Linked DNA regions of Callithrix jacchus. The protein of the gene in region 1 purifies or fractionates together with the protein of each later gene. This does not show direct contact. Links are inferred from orthologs where the notes say so. Each region holds a gene or a part of one and is shown on either strand. Other genes may lie near its edges.

The links. Proteins that work in one complex are often made in the same cells at the same time.
Region 2: the proteins of SKI (region 1) and HDAC3 purify together in Homo sapiens (affinity purification with western blotting; 4 studies listed by BioGRID and IntAct, with this or other methods). This does not show direct contact. The link is inferred for Callithrix jacchus from reciprocal best matches to the Homo sapiens genes SKI and HDAC3.
Region 3: the proteins of SKI (region 1) and SIN3A purify together in Homo sapiens (affinity purification with western blotting; 3 studies listed by BioGRID and IntAct, with this or other methods). This does not show direct contact. The link is inferred for Callithrix jacchus from reciprocal best matches to the Homo sapiens genes SKI and SIN3A.

Annotation. Positions count from the first base shown.
Region 1 is NC_133508.1:40,278,921-40,283,170, reverse strand, and holds the start of SKI (ski oncogene), read right to left. Parts: upstream 2,801-4,250; 5' UTR 2,353-2,800; coding exon 1,384-2,352; intron 1-1,383. UniProt on the Homo sapiens protein: May play a role in terminal differentiation of skeletal muscle cells but not in the determination of cells to the myogenic lineage. Functions as a repressor of TGF-beta signaling.
Region 2 is NC_133503.1:40,068,913-40,073,207, reverse strand, and holds the start of HDAC3 (histone deacetylase 3), read left to right. Parts: upstream 1-1,490; 5' UTR 1,491-1,544; coding exon 1,545-1,599; intron 1,600-1,706; coding exon 1,707-1,789; intron 1,790-3,642; coding exon 3,643-3,785; intron 3,786-4,295. Other genes in the region: RELL2 (RELT-like protein 2), read right to left, coding at 1-132. UniProt on the Homo sapiens protein: Histone deacetylase that catalyzes the deacetylation of lysine residues on the N-terminal part of the core histones (H2A, H2B, H3 and H4), and some other non-histone substrates.
Region 3 is NC_133509.1:22,403,379-22,407,442, reverse strand, and holds the start of SIN3A (paired amphipathic helix protein Sin3a), read right to left. Parts: upstream 2,806-4,064; 5' UTR 2,625-2,805; intron 1-2,624. UniProt on the Homo sapiens protein: Acts as a transcriptional repressor. Corepressor for REST. Interacts with MXI1 to repress MYC responsive genes and antagonize MYC oncogenic activities. Also interacts with MXD1-MAX heterodimers to repress transcription by tethering SIN3A to DNA.

The sequences.
Region 1 (4,250 bases):
CACAGGGTACGCCATCATGCCCACCCCAGCCAACTCCCCGTGTGACACGAAAGGCCCCAGCCTGCTGGGTCTGTCAGCAGCCCCGCCGGGAGCATCCTTCCACAGCCCACAGGTCTGCAAGCAGCTGCACCAAGGCTCTGGCCTGGCAGGGCCAGAGCGCCCCTGAACAGGCATACACGCGCGCGCACACTCTCCGCAGCCCCCTCCAAGCAGAGGCGACAGTCCCTCGCTTCCATCCACAGCCCCTCCTCCCCACGATCTGACACTCTGCTGGAGGGCCGCCCAGAGAAAACCGGGCTGGAGCATCTATTCACAGATTTCAAAAAAAAAGTTTGATGCAATAGCTGAATTAATTAGGCCTCCCAAGAATAGCTGAGCCAATGCAGCATTCTGTGTGTGCAATTTAATAAGCCTGCATATTTAAAAAAAAGTTACAAATACTTGGGAAGGTATGCAACGGAAAGTTCCTGAGGACCCCACTGGGTAATGTCGGTGCCTTATGGCCTGGGAGCTGCCCACGCCGGATCCTCCAGATCCTCCAACTGGCAAACAACAAAGCCGGGCTGACAGTCTCCCTCCCTGGCGTGTCCCTCTGCGCTTCAGAGGGAGAGAAGGAAACGGGTGAGTCCAAAACAAATCGCAGGCCGCCAGGAACTCCAGCACTCGGGCCCAGGAGCCTGCTGACCAGGCCCTCAGCTGGGTGCCAAGTGGCCCTCACCCTGCACGGGGGACTCTGGGATTTGCTCCCTGGCAGGCCCAGGGAGACGAACCAGCACAGTGCTGGGGCTGCTGAGTCTCGGCCCTCCGCCACTAACGCCGGACACCTGGCTTCATTTTGGGTCTGTGTCCCAAAACTTCAGGACACCAAACAGGGAGCAGAGCCAGTAACAAAACCAGGCCTCGCCTGGCCCGAGCTCTGTCTCCTGGGGCTCAAAGCTGGGAAGCTTCGGGGTAAGGGCAGCCACCTTCACCCCAACCCCAAGGAAGACCCGGGCCTGAGGCATCCAGCCGCAGTACGGCTGGATGGAACTTCCCTGACCTCGGGACAGGCCGCTTTCTCGGCAGCACAAGAGGCCTGTGCCTTCCTGGCCTATCTGGGCAATGGCTGTGGGCCTTTCCCACACACCAAGCCTGGCCCCGCACCCCACCGCCACCAGCCCCGCCCAGGCTCGTCCTGAGGAACCGGCAGGAGGGCTTCCTTCCAAACCCACTGGCCCTGCCCAAGGGAACGCTCTGAATTTCCCCTAAACGAACCGAAGCCTTGAGACAGGAGTGAGGCAGAACACAGGTCCCGGCCTTCGGAGCCCGGAGCGCAAGGCCCAGGAGGTGCCCCCCCACCCAACGCACCGGCCCCACCCCGCGCCCAGGCCTGGGGCCACTCACCCGGGGCACCCGCCGCTTGTACTTGCTGCCATAGTCGAACTTCTCCTTCACGTCGTCCAGGCAGCGGCCGAGGCGCGCCTGCTCCTCCTTGCCGGTGTAGTCCTGGCTCAGCAGGATGTAGGCCCGCCAGTTGGCCGAGTCGAAGCCCCAGTGGCAGGTCCGGTTCTCCAGGGCCTTGTGCGAGTGCACCACGAACTTGTGCGGCGGGTACATGAGGCGGCAGTCCAGGCACTGAATGCAGGCGGCGCTTGGGCTGCTGTAAAGCTCAGGCACCAGCAGCCCCTTGCACTTGCCGAAGCACTCGTGGTACACGCGGACGCTGCGCTCGCTGAGCTCCAGGCCCAGCGCCAGGCTGGCGGCCAGCTCCTTCTTGCAGGGCGGCGGGTAGGCGCCGCCGTAGAGCAGCGCGTTACACAGGCGCTCGGCGTCCGTCTTGGTGATGAGCCCGCACGAGGGCGCCGAGAAGGGCAGGATGCCCATGACTTTGAGGATCTCCAGCTGGTCGGCCGTGCAGCGCGAGCAGTAGATGTGGAGCTCGTCGCACACCGAGTTGATCTGCTGCAGCGAGAAGTCGCGCAGCACCGAGTTGAGGATTTGTGGCAGGCACAGGCGCTTCTCCCCTCCCACCACGAAGCACGAGATGGTCTCGCCCTCTAGCACCGTCTCGCAGCGCTCCGTGGAGCGGTCGGACGGCATGAAGAAGGGCCCGGGCAGCACGGGCGGCGGCGGCTGGATGGCGGGCAGGTGCAGCACGGGCGGCGGCTCCGCGGCTGCGGGCACCGGCGCGGGCACCGCGGCCGCGCCCGCCTCCTTGGCGCTCTCCTTCTTGTAGGCCTCCTGCGCCCAGCGCGCCGAGAAGGCGGCCGGGCCGCCCAACGAGCTCATGGAGCTCAGGTGGAACTGTTCCAGCGTCTTCTGCAGCCCCGGGTGCGGCTGGAAGCCGCCGCGGCCGCCCGCCGCCGCTTCCATGGTGCGCTCCGGCTCCCCGGGCCGCTCCCGCTCCCGCGCGCCCGGGCCCCCCCGGCCCCCGCCGCCGCCCCGCGCGCCCCGGCGGCGTCCGCGGCCCCGACCCCGGCCGCCCCCTGCCGCCGGCTCACGACCGATCACGGCCGCGGCCTCGCCCGGGGGCGCGAAGGGGAAGGCGGGCGGGGCGAAGGGGTCCCGCCGCTGGAGTCCGCCGCCGCCCGGGCCCGGCGCCACATCCACGCGCCCCGCGCCGCGCCCGCCGCCGCCCGGGCCCCCCGCGCGTCCCCCGCGCGCCCCCCGGGCTCTAGGCGCGGGGCATGCCCCGGCGCGCGCCGCCAACGCCAACGCCAACGCTCGCGGGCCCGGGGCTCGCGGGGGGCGCGCGGGCAGGTGGCGGCGCCGAGAGGCGCGAATCGCCGCGGCGGCCGAGGCCGAGGGGCCCGGGAGGAGCGGGGGCGCGGGCGCGGGGCCCGCCGGGCCGTCCTCGCGCGGCGCGCCGCCGCCGCCCCGCTCCTCCCACCGCGCGGCGCCCGCCCGGCTCGTCCCGGCGGCGCTGGCCGGCCGCGTCGCGCCCGCCGCCGGCCCCCGGCCCGCCCGCCCGCCGGCTCCGCGGCCCGCCCGCCCGGCTTCTGGGGCGGCGGAGGCGCCTCTCGCCCGCGGCCCTCAGAGCGCGGCGGCGGCGGCGCGGGGCTTGGGGCGCTCGGCGAACATCCTCCCGGCGGCTCGCTTCGGCTCGGACTGAGCGCCCGGCGCTGAGCTCACGCCGCCGCCGCGCCGCCCCGCCCCGCGCCGCCCGCTCCGCCCCGCGCCGGCCCCGCCCCCCGCGCTGTTTGTTGCTGTGCGTCCGCCTCAGCCAGAGCGCCGGCCAAGAATGTGACCCGCTCCCCAGCCGGGCTCTTCCAGGAACGCGCGCTCCCCGCCCGGACTCGGCCGCGCTCGGCTCCGCTCGCCCGGGATTCGGCTGCGCTAGGACCCGCCCTGCTACGACTCGGCTCCGCTCGCCCGGGACTCGGCTCTGCTCGGCCGTGCTCGACTCGACTCGGCCCCGCTCGGCCTTGCCCGCCGACGGCCGCTAGCGCGGGCGGAGGCGGAGGCGGTGGTGGCGGCGCCCGGGGCCCCCTTCCGGCCGAGGCCGCTTCCTGCGCTGCTGGGAAGGCGCCCGTCTCGCCGCCGCCGGGGCCCAGAAACCCACAGGCTCCCCGCTCGACCGCAAACCAGCTGGGACGGCTGGCGGGCCACGCCACGCACCCGGGGTTCTCCCAGGGTGGGACACCACACAGCGGGGAGCCCGGGCGCCTCTGGGGTCCCACACACCACAGGGATGGTGGCCACGCGGGGGGACTTCGCGCCACGTGACCCTGGCGGCGCAGCCCCGCGGCCCCCGCTGCACCGTGGCCCGTGGCTCGGTGGCCGGGTGTCAGCGGCTCCCGCCCGTGCCAGCCCCGCCCCACCAGACCGGGGCTTCGGGCCTGGGAGGGGCGGCGCCCGGTGCCCCCGCCGCGGCCGCTCTGCCGGCCCCTGGCCGGGTGGCTTCTCAGGATCTCGGCCCCGCGGGTCCCGACGGGCAGACTGGCGAGACCCCTGCCCTCCGCCCCGGGGCTGCGGGGCGCTTCCGTCCGTCCGGTCGGGCCGGCTCTCCACGCCTGGCCACGCAGTGGGAGAGCCACAAGCCCTGGCAGGCCGAAGTGGGAAAGCCTGGGTCCCAAAGCTGGACGGTCGGCCTGGTGGTCCCCAGAGGTGGCAGCGTCCAGCGAGGCCTGCGGGCTCCGGGACGCAATGGGTGGGAGGGGGTTGGGGGCTGTCCTCGCCCGAGGCCGAGGGACATTCCTGCCGCCCTGGGCCCTGGCACCTTTTCCCACGGGCCACGGGTACCCAGGCTGGCTTTCGTGCTGGGGGAAGGC
Region 2 (4,295 bases), on another chromosome or scaffold:
GTAGCCCTTCTTCTTGAGCACGTGGCAGATCATGAAGCCTACTAGGCCCATGAGGAAGAAGACCAGCACAAGCAGGAAGAGCATGTACAGTCCATGTTGGGGCGGTTCCAGGTCAGGCTGTGGTTCCGACATGAGGTCCTGGGGGGCGAGCGCGGGCCAGGGCGCCTCCTGGGTTTAGGGGGCTGCAGCTGGGAATGGGGGAGGGGTAGGAATGCCTTGCTCAGGGTCTGAAACAAGCTAGTCTCAGCGGTCCGGCTCCACCCCCTACCCAACCGGGGAGCTGTCCGGGCCAAGGGTGCTGGTTCGCCAGTACCGCCCGAGGCAAGAGGTGAGCGGCTACGCAAGCTCTCTACCACAACCCTGGTCCTGTTTCCCCGACGCCCCGAGCGTTTCCCTTTACAGCTTGTTCGCGCTTCTGTCCCTCCCAAGGACACTGCAGCACGAGATGGGACGGAATTCTTAGGCGGCGGGAGCAGAAATCGCGCCTGAGTCAGCGCCCTCACCTCCTCCGAGCCGGTCTGAGCCAGGCCTCTGCAACCCTCTCCTCTCAGTACTCCCGCACCCCTTCCCCTTTTCGGTTTCTTCCACCCAGACCACCTGGCCCGCCCAGTACCGGTGATTTGGTTCTGGTTCCGGCTTCCGCTCGGGTTCCGGCTCCAGGGGCGTCCTAGTGCGGCTCAGGGCCCCCGACGCCCTCCCGGCGCTCATCCCTTGATTCCTCCCCTCCCCCTTCGCCGCCTCACCGGCCCCGGGCTGTGGCTGCGGATACCGGCGCCGTGGCAGGCGGGGGGAGGGAAGGACAGAGAAGGATGCGGGCTGGCTGGGAGCGGCGGCAGGCTTCGAGCAACCCCGGCCCTGGATCAGGGAGATGGGCGCCTCCGCAGCCGCCCTGGCTTCCCAAACGCCTTCGCCGGTCGCAGGCCCAGGACCAGGGGGCGGAGCGCAGGTGTAATGGGCGGAGAGCGTGAGCCTTGCGCGCGCGTGACTGCGCCGGGCCCCCCCGGGGCAATGTGCGGCGCGGAGTCTGGGTCCGGGTGGGGGACAAGCTGTCCGGTGTGGGTGTTGTCCACTATCCGGCACGCCTGGCGCAGCTCCTGCCCTCAGATGCCCCGACCGAGCGGGGAGTCAGGAATCTTCCCCGAGGGCTGGGGGAAGCCGGCTTTCCGCACCTTTGAGGGAGGGAGTGGCGGGACCTTCGTAGCTTCCTAGAGAAGTGACCACGGCCTGCGCCCGGTTTGGGGCAAGCGGCTGGATGGGATGGCTCGGCTTTCCGAGGATCTGACCCCCGGCCGGAGAGAAAAGGCCCTTGCATCCTAGGAGCGATGCTACCAGTTCCCCGCCTGGACGCCCAAAGCCCCAGATCCCGGGAGAGCGGAGACGGGCGAGGGGCGGAGCTCCTCTGGGGGCCTGGCCCGGGTGTGGCTGGAGGCGGGCCCCGCACCGCCCAGTTCCGCAGAGGCAGGCTACGTGCTGGCGCAGCACGCACGGCCGGGGCGGGGCTGGCGGCGGGCGGCGGAGGCGCGGGGCCTGCTCCCGCCGGCACCATGGCCAAGACCGTGGCCTATTTCTACGACCCCGACGTGGGCAACTTCCACTACGGTGAAGAAACAGGGATATGCACGAGGGGTTGGGACGCGGAGATTTGGAGGTGGGGGTTGAAACTCCAGGGGTGAGAGCTGACGAACTCTCTTCTCCCCACCCCCCAGGAGCTGGACACCCCATGAAGCCCCATCGCCTGGCATTGACCCATAGCCTCGTCCTGCACTACGGTCTCTATAAGAAGATGATCGTGAGTCCCCCTGCCTCGGCCGTGGGTTGGGGGGTGGGGAGAACTGTGGCCGTAGGGATAGGTGGGCTGGTCTGAGTGCATTGAATGCGACCCGCCCCTAAAGTAGGGGGAAGCTGGATAGAAGACATCAGGAGTACCTTGAATGTGCACGGTGTTGGGGGTGGCGTCCTCTGCTTAATTGAAAGTACTTTCTCACCGCAGGTCCGCCACCCTCTGACTATAGACAGACTGGCCCTTGGCCTAGGGTTAGGGTGATGTGGGACTGGTTTGAAGACAGAAGGTGTGTTCCTCCTCTGCATTTTAGAGTGTGGATAGGGCCTAAGCCTCAGGAATTGGGATGGGGGAAAGGATATCACTTTATCGGGGTGTGAGATTTACCCTCAGTTCCCACTCCTCCTTTACCAACAGTGCTGCCATGTTTGTAAGTGTGTATGTGCGTGTGCAAGAGTGGAGATATCCTAGATATTGCGTTTTCAGCCTAGAATACCTCTACATGGTTCTGCTTAATTGCTATCCAGTTTTTCATCTCCCAGACATACACATGCTGTCCCCCAAGCTTGGAATTTATGGCTGTGATATGGGATAGTAACAGTTAAGCCAGGCATGGTGGCCCATGCCTGTAATCCCAGCACTTTGGGAGGCTGAAATGGGAGGATTGCTTGAGGCTAGGAGTTGGAGACCAGCTCGGGCCACAGTGGGACCCACATCTCTACAAAAATAAAAAATAAAAGTAGCCATGCGTGGTGGGTGTGCCTGTAGTCCCAACTACTTGGGAGGCTGAGGTGACAGGATGGCTTGGGCCCAAGAGTTTGAAGTTACAGTGAGCTATGATCATGCTGTAGCACTGCAGCCTGAGTGACAGGGAGGACCTTGTCTCAAAAGAAAAAATAAGACAGCCCAGGCTTTATGTGTTGCTAGGAAATTAGTGAACAATATGAATGAGTGTTAATTGCTTATGCCAAGGCACAGACGAATGGATTGGTCATAGAAAAGACTGAGGTGATGTATGTGCAGGAATCTATACCCCTTGAGATTGTTTGCCCGTACGTACCTGTGTGCATTTTCTGGGAGAAGAAAAGCTCTTTCTTTTTTTTTTGGAGACGGAGTTTCGCTCTTGTTACCCAGGCTGGAGTGCAATGGTGCAATCTCGGCTCACCGCAGCCTCTGCCTCCTGAGTTCAGGCAATTCTCCTGCCTTAGCCTCCTGAGTAGCTGGGATCACAGGCACACACCATTATGCCCAGCTAATTTTTTGTATTTTTAGTAGAGATGGGGTTTCACCATGTTGACCAGGATGGTCTCAATCTCTTGACCTCGTGATCCACCCGCCTTGGCCTCCCAAAATGCTGGGATTACAGGCTTGAGCCACCACGCCCAGCCTGAAAAGCTCTTTCTTGTCCAGTTTTCAAGGAGGTGTGACACATCCCCCTCACCTTCCAGAGATGATAAATCTTTGATTTTAATTAGAAAGTTGACATATATCCCATATAGTTGACTCCAGAAAGAAGAATCCAGAGGAAAGAGGACAGAATCAGAGCTTGGGGGAGGAGATGAGCATGGAGAGAAATGGGAATAGGAAAGCCAAGGAACAGGGCAGGTGGATCAGGGCTCAAAGTTGAGAAGGTACGATAGGTTGAGCTGGAGGTGGAAAGGAAAAGAAGTGGTCTTCAGGGGGCTCAATTGTAATAGCCCACCTGGTTAGTTGGAGTCTCTCTCCTGACTTAACGATTGTGGGATGAGAGTATTGTTATGTTTGGTTTCATAGAATCTCCAGGACTGGGTTCAGTATGGGTGGTCTGAGCCTGTGGAGTGGGGCTGACCCTGCCTGAGTTCATCTTGTGTCTCCATCCTGAGGTCTTCAAGCCATACCAGGCCTCCCAGCATGACATGTGCCGCTTCCACTCCGAGGACTACATTGACTTCCTGCAGAGAGTTAGCCCCACAAATATGCAAGGCTTCACCAAGAGTCTTAATGCCTTCAATGTAGGCGATGACTGGTAAGGAACGACTGGGACTTTTGATGTCCAACAGTTTAATTCCAGTCCCTTCAGTGAGGTATTTTGGCACCAGTGGGAACATCTGAAGGGGGGCCTGCTTGTCAAAGAATCATAATTAACTTATTTGTTTATTCAATAAATATTTATTTGTCATTTGCTCTGGGGTAGGCCCTGTGCTAAGTGTTGGGAATGCAGTGATGAACAAAACCAAAATTTTAATATTGTGTTTTTGCTAAGTATTATGAAGAGGAGGTATATGACAGATTATGAGAGTGTATACATGGTGAATTTTCTAGCTTGGTGGAGTGGCTGGCTTCCTAGAGGAAGTAAAGATTGAGCTGAGATCTGAAAAAAGAGTAGAAGTAGTCAGATCAAAGGTGGTTGGAGGGTGAGGGGCAGAGTATAGCAGCAGTAGGGACAACATGTGATAAGGGTCTGTGGTAGGATTGAGTATGACTCATTTGAGGAACAGAAAAAAGGCCAAGTGCAGAATACCAAGAGACGGTGAAC
Region 3 (4,064 bases), on another chromosome or scaffold:
ATTTATTCACCAAATAAAGCGTGGGCCTGAGCTGACTTCACTTTGAGGGGACACTCTCCCAGCGTCAGGAGAGGGGGCGGGATTAGGTTTTTACCGCACTCCAGAGGAAGCCGAATCCTCCTCCCAAGGGACAGGCACGGCGAACCCACTCCTGGGTCCAACTCTGTTCTCCCTCTGCAATCAGTGGAAATGGCCAGGAAAGAGCTCTGGCAGCAGGTGGGCCTGACTCCAGTGATGGCTTCGAGCCACAAAACCACGACAGCGAATTGTGAAGTTCAAGGGGAGTCGACAGGTGGGAGCAGCCTCGCCAGTAGCCAAGCCCTGTCCCGGAACGGAGCTCTAAAAATAAGACCAACGAAGCGACCCCTGGGCCAAACTGCTGGGATGCTAGGAGGAAGTGGCACTCCAGCAGAACCGACCCAAAACTCCTAACTTTGCGCCCCCTTCCACCACTAAACTGAGTATCACGGGGCAGGCTCACCATGGTATCAAAAACTACTCAGAACCCAAGCCAGCATTAGGCCGCTCACGACTTCCCGTGACCACAGGGTACTACCTGCGCTGGATCTCGCCAAAGGGTCCCAGGCCAGCGCTCTAGGTTGTCAAGAATCTTAGACACAGCCAACTAAGGACGGCAGCTACCTGCCTAGGGAAGAACAAACGCTTTCAGCGTCTACAGAGTTCTCAGTTTAAGCTCAGGGAAGTCAAGGGGCGCGGAAATAGACAAGCCACAGGGTCAGAACTTCAGTACTTGGCCCCGGCCACGAAGTGCAGATCTCAACCCCTGCAGAACCTCCGGAGCTTCGCTACCGAAATCCACTCCTCACTGTAATCCCCTGGCTTCACCCCGAAGGCTACCAAGTCTAGAGCCTCGGTGGAACCTTTGTGTGGCTTCTCGGCTATCCCCGCCCCCCTCGCCAAGGGCGCCGAGCCTAGGACTTCCGGGCGGGAGGGCAGTTCGAAGGAGCGAGGCGGGCCTCACACATGTGCCGAGCGCGCTCAAGAGCGAAGGGAGGAGGCGGGGAACAAGAGTGGACTTCCCACTCCAAGCTCGCAAAGCCGGAGGAGGCCGGGCTACTCGTCCCACCAATCAGAGGCGGGGGCGGGACCCTGCGCCTCTTGTCAGCGGCAGGAACCCTCCCTCCTCCCTCCGCGGAAAAAAAATCCTAGCAACTTAAACTCCAGCCCGGCCTCCCGATAGGCGGAGCTCGGGAGAATGCCATCCAATCCACTTCCGAGAAGGAGGAAAAAAGGGGGTCTCACCCAGCCAGTGGAAGACAAGAGAAGGCGGGGCCCCCGGGCGAGCCCGAGGTAGGTGGGAGAGAGGAAACGGACCCGCCCCTCAGCTCCCCTCCAGGCGGGTTGCACAAGCCGCCGGTGGAGTAGATAGTAAACAGTCTGGGTCGAGGAGTGTTGGCAGGGGCCGCCTGGCGCTCGGTGGACGGGAGCCCCTGCGCCGCCTCTCCCGGCGTTGCCCCGCCCGGCCGGGACGGTTCGCGCCGGCGCTCCGCCTACCCGCTCACGGCCGCCATCCCGGCTGACAGGCGCGCCCCCCGCGCCCCTCCCGCCCGCTGATGCATTTCCTTTTCCCGATTCCGAGCGTGGAGACTGTTTTCCCAGTTTCCGACCTTCACTGCCCCTTTCAGGCCACCCCCTCGTGGGCGCGCACACGCCCGCGCCCCCGCCCCATCCGCGCGGAGCGGCCCGCAGTGGCACCTCGCGGGAAGGGGGAGCCCGGCGGCGGCACGGCCGGGGGAGGGGAAAAGAGCAGCAGTCGCCGCCGCCGCCGCCTTGGGGTGGGCGGGGAAGCAGGCAGCTCCATGTTTGCAAGGAGATCAGCCGGGGCCGCGGGGCGAAGCCGCCGAGTTCCTGGGGGTTTTCCCCACCACCGGTGCGAGCTCCTCGCCGGCTCGCGGCCTGCCGGGTTCTGGCACCGAATGCTGATGACCGCTACGGCCGGGGAGTTCGGAGCCTCGGCAGCTCGCGGGGTTAGCGGCGAGGCGCAGCGGCTCTTTCCGGTGGCCTCTCCCGCCCCCGGCTACCCCTCCCGCAAGTCCGGTGTTGCCCCCGCCCCCCGAGTCCATAACAACCGCGGGCCCACTGTGCCCGCGCCTCTCCAGAGCGCGCCCACCGCCCCCTCCGACAAGTTTGCAGGCAGAAACAAAACCCTCGGGGCGGCTGCCGCCCTTGCTCAGCGTGGGTAGTCGGGAAAGCCGCGGGCCCCGGCTCGCTCGCTAACTCCAGCTCTCAAGCAACTCCGGGCGCCGCAAGCTCAATGGGCCCTGCCGACCATGCTCGAGCCGCCGCCCCCTGCCGAGCCTGCAAGCCGCAACCCGGGCCCGGTTCTAGTCGGCGTGTGGAATCCCCCTTTTCCTTCCTAATGTTTTTCTTTTTTTGAAAAAGGCACAACAGGAGCGGGGGTCTCCTGCCCGCCCCTTCTCCAGTACGCCGCCAAAACCTACCAAAACCGACTGCTCGGTGAGATAAACTAAGCGGCACTGCCGGCGCAGGGACGACCCAGGCCGGACCGACCCCCTCCCCACGGCTCCGGCCCGGCTCGAAACACACACACAGGCGAGCGGGCGGCGCCAAGAGCTCTCCTTCCTGGCCTGTCCCTCGCCTACCTCGGCCGCGGGACTCCGAGCCTCCCCTCAGCTCGGTCCCAGGGCCCGTGGGGCTCACACCACGTCGGGCCGGCCAGACCGAGCGGCCGGGGGATTAGCCCCCCAAACGACTGAGATTGGGGGGACCAAATTAAAAGCAGCTGTTTAACATACCTTCCGAGCCAGGCGAGGAGTCCTGAATGGGGGGGAACGCCCCCCACGGGCCATTGGCTCCCCGGAGCTCACGTCAGTCACCCTGGGCCCGCCTCCGCCCTTCGCCCCGCCTCTTCCCCTTCATTGAATGCTCCCTCCTTCCAAAAAATATAAATAAATTTATTAAACTAAACGCTAGTGAGAGACGTATCCGTGGTAGAGGCCCTTATAGCTTCCACACCGCCGACTGGAGTTTCTTGAGGTCCTCGGACTGGAAGGAGGCCTTCTGGGACTCGGAGATCTTCAGGGTGGATGCGGATGATGAGCCAGCCGGGCTACCCGGCCCCAACTTCCTTCACACACACAACCTATTTGGAGCTAGACAGTATAGGAGGTAGGTGCACCCTAGGCACTGGCTGAGGTGGGCAGACTCCTCTGGCTGTGTGACCTAACCGTGTCCGGTCCACTCTGTTAGGTAGACCTAAAAGCGAGTAACGCAAACGGGAAGCCCTGCTTCCGCGGGCAGCAGGCACTTGTCCCTACTGTGGGTGAGGCAGACATTCATACTGCATCTGCTGCTAGGTGCAGTTACAGACTGGGTGACGTGCTTACTCTACCCCTCCAAGGGCTCCAGATTCAGCCGAGGAGAGTCTACGTAAGGCACTAAGGCAAGGCAGGAATGTGTATGTAAATAGACATCCATAGGAGCTCAGAGAAGAGAGATTCCTTCTGCTGAAGGAAAATTGGTTTCATGGAGGAGGTGGCATTCAAGTTGGGTCTTAAAGATTTCATCAAGCAGAATTGGAGGGGCAGGTCATTGTCAGCAAAGGACACAAAGGGGTAAATGCAAAAAAATGACCTTCATATGTGGCTATAGCCATAAAAAAGGGTTGGGGGTGTGGAAATGGAACCACTTTACAACTTTTAGTTGGGTGAAATTCTTGGATGTGCACAGCCGAATATGCAGGCAGCACCGTCACAGGCCCACAACTATAGTGTAAGATGTTTGGCACCCTGGCAGAAAGATGGGTTCTGACGGTGGACTGAGAAGTGCCTATAAGCAGCAAGGGGAGGCCCAGAGGCTGTTGTAATACTGCGTTTGGAGACTACAGAAGTGCCTCTTGTGGAAGGAATAGCTGGGGGAAGAGAAGGCTTCTTTTCTCTATCCCAGCCACCCAGTCTGAAAGCTCTCCCCACCTTCAGCAGCCTGCAAGTCAAAGCTTTGACTCAGATCTTTCCTTGCATCATTTGCTTTATTTATCATAACTTCCCACCAAAAGGAGTTTCTGGGGGACACAAGCCACCCAA